2 linked regions of the Saccharomyces cerevisiae S288C genome follow. The gene in region 1 interacts genetically with each later gene. Each region holds a gene or a part of one and is shown on either strand. Other genes may lie near its edges.

Evidence for each region.
Region 2: of PRE7 (region 1) and YBR085C-A, changing one enhances a phenotype caused by changing the other (phenotypic enhancement), as found in Saccharomyces cerevisiae (one study listed by BioGRID).

The regions. Positions count from the first base shown.
Region 1 is NC_001134.8:139,449-142,725, reverse strand, and holds PRE7 (proteasome core particle subunit beta 6), read right to left. Parts: upstream 1,480-3,277; coding exon 754-1,479; downstream 1-753. Other genes in the region: ERD2 (Erd2p), read left to right, coding at 1-614; FUI1 (uridine permease), read left to right, coding at 2,466-3,277. UniProt on the Saccharomyces cerevisiae protein: Non-catalytic component of the proteasome which degrades poly-ubiquitinated proteins in the cytoplasm and in the nucleus. It is essential for the regulated turnover of proteins and for the removal of misfolded proteins.
Region 2 is NC_001134.8:418,305-421,382, reverse strand, and holds YBR085C-A (uncharacterized protein), read left to right. Parts: upstream 1-2,218; coding exon 2,219-2,476; downstream 2,477-3,078. Other genes in the region: IST2 (Ist2p), read left to right, coding at 1-1,182.

The sequences.
Region 1 (3,277 bases):
TACTGATCCTGATTCATAATATCAAGACCACAAGGTACATTGAAGGTATTTCTTTCAAGACCCAAACGTTGTACGCTTTGGTTTTCATAACACGATACTTGGATCTCTTGACTTTTCACTGGGTATCCCTATACAATGCTCTAATGAAAATATTTTTCATTGTATCTACCGCTTACATTGTAGTGCTATTACAAGGGTCTAAAAGAACCAACACCATTGCGTATAATGAAATGCTTATGCATGATACCTTTAAGATCCAGCATTTACTAATTGGGAGTGCTCTAATGAGTGTTTTTTTCCATCACAAGTTCACTTTTCTTGAATTAGCATGGAGTTTTTCTGTATGGTTGGAGAGTGTGGCTATTCTACCTCAATTGTACATGCTATCTAAGGGTGGGAAGACTAGAAGTCTAACTGTTCATTATATTTTTGCCATGGGATTATACAGAGCATTGTATATTCCTAACTGGATTTGGAGGTACAGCACGGAAGATAAAAAATTGGACAAGATTGCCTTCTTCGCGGGACTTTTGCAAACTCTGTTGTACTCTGATTTCTTTTACATTTACTACACTAAAGTCATCAGAGGAAAGGGTTTCAAACTGCCAAAATAAAAAAAAAACCTGTTTTAAATAGTGTTCGCAGCAATATATACAAATTTCAATATATCAATGCTATACCAAAAGAAAAAAAAAATACATAAAATTGATGTTGATATTGGTCTATTTCTTTTTATACTATGATATGTATGCATTAATCTCTTTTTAGCTCATAAAATTCTTTCCTTACACCATCCTTGGTGACAATAAGGATTTCCAGCCCATCACCCACTTGTATATGTCTTTCTGTAGCAGAAGTGAACGAGTCTCTCACCAGTTTGATGACTTCTTCCACGGACAAGTATTTCAAAGGCTTTTTGACTTTACCGTTTGTACCTGGCTCATATTGATTTTTGAAATTAACCTGATTGTCCAAAAATGGCATGATCAATGATGCCGCAGCACCACCTGCTCTACACTGTTCTCTTTCGTAGGAGCCAACTGGGTCGAACGAATAGACAGCGCCCTTACCATCTTCGTCAAGACCCGCAATGATCGTATGAACGTAGTAAGGGAAAAACCTCTTCCCGTACAGAAGATGTTGAATGTTCCTTGCTGCAGAGTTTATAGATAGTTTTTTGTCGTTGTGGTCGAAATGGTACCATTTTACACTATTTTTGAATCTTTTTACTAAAGCGTCGCCGTCTGCTGCAAATCCATTCGCCGACATGACTATGTTATCACCACAATCAAAAACCTTGGGTTCATAACGAGAATTAATTGAGTAATCGGTGATATTTCTTGTATCGCCTGCTAACACTGCGAAATCTTCACCTGCAATGCCCAGGATTGTACCACCATTATCACCGTAAGGATTGAATTGATGTTCAATGGGTGTATTTGACGCCTCCGAAGAGTATTCTGATGCAATAGTGGCCATATTTTGTTTAACTTTATAGTTCAATAGTCTTGGCTACTCTCTTTCCAACTCAGTTCACCTTGTATTATACCGCTTGTTTTTGCCACCCTTTGAGTTTCCTCGATCCTTTAAGTTGGAAAAGATAAAAACAATTATCGCTCCGTACGAACACCAAATCTCTGCGACGCAGAGACGGCAATACAAAATCAGAAAAAAAAAACAATTTATTGCCTATGCTTCACTAGTCACAGGCTCTACGAAACATTGCTATCGCCTCACTGCCTTTACATCACTTAAGCAAGAAGTTTTAAATATTACGGCAATTCCTTTGCAGCAATACCTTTACTTTATTTCGAGAGAAAATAGATCGTAAAATGCCTACTCCAAGCTTTTAAATCAAGACTCAACCAAGCCCCCACACTTATCTTTAGAGACTAATGCCCTAACTCTTTCGACTGAACGGCTTAGAAGTCTCATGTCCTAGCTAGTTTGTCCTTGCGATGGGACACAAACGGCGCTGCCTCTCCTGCGGGCGATCAGAAAGAAGAAAAAGAAATGTGATTGAGCCATGCCACAAAGCGGTATGTGCCATTAATTTCTTTTTTTCTCCCCTTTCGCCTTTGAGTTTCTCCGCGGCGTTCACTGTGGTTGATGCTCGGGATTTGCCGGTTTCGTCCTTATCGCGCCATCTTTGCCATTAAAGGATGCTGCAATAAAACTTGGCGGTTCTCGCTACTGAAACTATTGTGTCAGCCTGGACAACACAGGGACATGTCGTATTTTTGAAAATTTTTGATCAATTCTCCAACGGAAAAGTTTTTCATTTCCTCTCTTGCTCAATTACTCGATGACATGCTATCCTATCTTTTATATAACAGTAGTATTGCTTCGACCTTCTTGTAAAATTTAAAACATAGTATTGGACAGCTTTGCTTTACTTTGCAGCACATTGCGGAAATAAAAGGCGGTAACTAGTCCTCTCATTCATTAATTCTATATAAGAGAAAATGCCGGTATCTGATTCTGGATTCGATAATTCTTCAAAAACAATGAAGGACGACACTATACCGACGGAGGATTACGAAGAAATCACGAAAGAGTCCGAGATGGGTGATGCGACTAAAATTACTTCTAAGATTGATGCTAATGTCATTGAAAAAAAAGATACCGATTCAGAAAACAATATAACCATTGCTCAGGATGACGAAAAGGTGTCTTGGCTGCAAAGAGTTGTCGAGTTTTTTGAGGTTAAGAATGACTCTACCGATTTGGCCGATCATAAGCCCGAAAATCCAATTAGGACATTTAAAGATTTACAGGAGTCCCTCCGTTCGACGTACTTGTACAACACAGATCTGCGGCCCGTGGAGGCAAAAAGAAGAACGTGGACATGGAAGCAGTACATTTTCTTTTGGATTTCTGGGTCCTTTAACGTCAATACATGGCAAATCTCAGCCACTGGGCTACAGTTAGGGCTTAACTGGTGGCAGACTTGGATCTGTATTTGGGTTGGATACACGTTTGTCGCATTTTTCTTGATACTGGGTTCCAAAGTGGGGAACAATTACCATATCTCTTTCCCCATTTCCTCAAGAGTATCATTTGGTATCTACTTCTCCATCTGGATTGTCATCAACCGTGTCGTCATGGCATGTGTCTGGAATTCTACTTTGGCTTATATCGGTAGTCAATGTGTTCAGTTGATGCTAAAGGCTATCTTCGGTACTAATTTGAATACTAGAATCAAAGACACCATAAAGAACCCCAATTTGACGAACTTCGAGTTCATGTGCTTCATGGTCTTCTGGGTCGCATGTTT
Region 2 (3,078 bases), 280 kb from region 1:
TACCTAGCAAATCCAATAAACCACTCGTGGATAAATATTGTACTATATGCTGTTTTTATTGAGCATGTTAGTGTTGCTATTTTCTTCCTTTTCTCTAGTATTTTGAAATCTTCCCATGATGACGTTGCAAATGGCATTGTGCCAAAGCATGTAGTTAACGTGCAAAACCCACCAAAACAAGAAGTCTTTGAAAAAATTCCCTCCCCTGAATTTAATTCGAATAACGAAAAAGAACTAGTTCAAAGAAAAGGGTCTGCGAATGAGAAGTTGCACCAAGAACTCGGTGAGAAACAGCCTGCCTCTTCTGCCAATGGATATGAGGCACATGCTGCCACTCATGCCAACAATGATCCGTCTTCTTTATCCTCAGCCTCCTCGCCTTCATTATCTTCTTCTTCTTCTAGCAGCAAAACCGGTGTAGTCAAAGCTGTTGATAACGATACAGCCGGATCTGCTGGTAAAAAGCCATTGGCCACAGAAAGTACTGAAAAAAGAAATTCTTTGGTGAAGGTGCCTACCGTTGGCTCATATGGTGTTGCGGGCGCCACTTTACCAGAAACAATTCCAACATCTAAAAATTACTACTTAAGGTTTGATGAGGACGGTAAATCCATTAGGGATGCGAAATCCAGTGCAGAATCTTCCAACGCCACCAATAACAACACCTTAGGCACGGAAAGTAAGCTTTTGCCAGATGGTGACGCCGTTGATGCACTAAGTAGAAAAATTGATCAAATACCCAAAATTGCTGTTACTGGTGGCGAAAATAACGAAAATACCCAGGCCAAAGACGATGCTGCCACTAAGACTCCACTCATTAAAGATGCAAATATTAAGCCTGTTGTCAACGCAGCTGTTAACGATAACCAATCGAAGGTTTCAGTGGCTACTGAACAAACAAAAAAGACTGAAGTAAGCACGAAAAATGGCCCATCAAGATCTATTTCCACGAAGGAAACTAAGGATTCTGCGAGACCATCTAATAACAATACTACTACTACTACTACTACAGATGCTACTCAGCCCCACCATCATCATCACCACCACCGCCATCGTGATGCTGGAGTGAAGAATGTCACGAACAATTCTAAGACAACCGAATCCTCTTCCTCTTCATCGGCGGCAAAGGAAAAACCAAAACATAAAAAGGGGCTATTGCATAAGCTGAAAAAGAAGCTTTAAAAAAAAGCTAGGACGATAACAAATTTTATTTTTATAATATGGTGACATTAAATTAATATGTATTCTTCTTTCTATCAAGTGTATGTTTTATGTATCTCTAATTTTAAAAGAATAATTCATTTTACCTTGTGCAGTGTTTTCATCAAACAGAAATCTCAAGATTTAGTTTCTACGCATGCATTGCCTCTTTCTTCTTCGTTCGAGAGGAGTCACAGCTAGGATTCATTACGTATGTTAGTCACACGATTATATCCAGGGGGGTAGAACATACCGACCATAACTTTTTTGCCGTTTTTCTATTAACCGCGGCTTCTATCAGGAAACCCTTTTTCAGCAAATTAAAAGAGAGCGAGGCTAAAACTCTCTGGTGGCAGTGAAAGATTCTAGGCCGGGTCCAGTTTCTAGGGGTAAAATAGAGCGCAAAAGATCTCGGTGCAGATCTAAGGCGGAAGAAAAGGAAATGTGATCCGATTTTTTATGGAAGCAAATAGAAAAACAGGATCAAACGCTTTTGTGGGCGGGAGATGTTATTATGTAACGGGGCTTTTATTAGCATGTGAAATGCTTTGTAGAAGGGCATCCCTGGAGCCCTTTTGGGCCTTACAGTACATGTTCAAGATTGGCCGACTATTAGCAGAACTACAACTAGGGTTGCAGTGGGAAGTATGAACGATAGGGGTAAGTCTAAATGTGATATAGTTACAGCTAATAATATCTTCTTGCTTAGTTTTGTTGAATATATGTTGCTTCTGAAGTACGTGCAGTTACGTCAGTGCGCGCATACATGTTATCCATATTCCTTTTTCCTCTTTTTGACCCGCACTTCATTTCGCGGTTTTTTTTCTTGTTTTGGTTTGCCCCCATTAATTATCTGATCTGGGCTTTTTCTGGCAATAAGTAGTTATCACCGGATCATCTCATTATTATAAAAGGGACAAAGGACTTGCGGCTCCAGTTTGTATAAGGGAAAGCGGCGCACTCTTCATTCGATAGGGGCTCAAGTTACCAACTACAATAAATTACATTATACTATAACATGTCATCTGCTCTATACAAACAAAGCACAAATTTTACTCATTCTACCGGTTCTTTCTTGCAAAGCGCACCTGTTGAACTGACGACAGTCAGTGGGTACCAGGAGTTTTTGAAGAAGCAAGAGAAAAAGAACTATGAAATTCAAACAGTTTTAAGCGAGGATAAATCACATGGTTATGTGCTAAAGGACGGCGAAGTCATCGCTAATATCATTGGTGAGGCCAAAGATTATCTTTTGGATTTGGCCGGCCAGGCTTGAACGAGTGGCTAAATATTTGTTCGATACGAGTCACTTCATGCACACTTTGATTTGCACTCTTATTGCTGGGCTGTAGTTTTCTTTTCCGTTTTCGCTTATAAATCTAACATGTTCTATTAGGGGAAAGAAAGGCGCAAATTGTAGAGTTTGTTAGGTCTTTTAAGTACTTGATTTCACCAACCGAAAGTGAAAGAAATAAAAAAAGATAAAGCTATTATTATTACCATGACCCTGTCATTGGTTTAAAACGTTTGTCCGTCTGCTTTTGATGTTTTTAAAAAAAATTTAAATAAATATTCTAAATAAGTGAATTACAGGCTGGTAGATAGTTCGTATACGTATAAGTTTTTCATTTAATTAATTTCGTCTCTATACCTGGACGCATTGTAGTTGAGTTTTCTAGAGATTTGGAGGTGTCTTAAAGCATCCGAACTGGGAGGTCTCGCAAATCAGAGGTCTTGGTCAAAAGTGCAAAATTCTTTAAAGGACGAATACTGAAAGTATCGTTTGCTGCTATTCATTAGGCAACCTCATCTTACTTCGGGACCGACAGGGAAAACAGTCACACGTTTTAAAAATGGATTTTTCCCTGTCTAGTATAG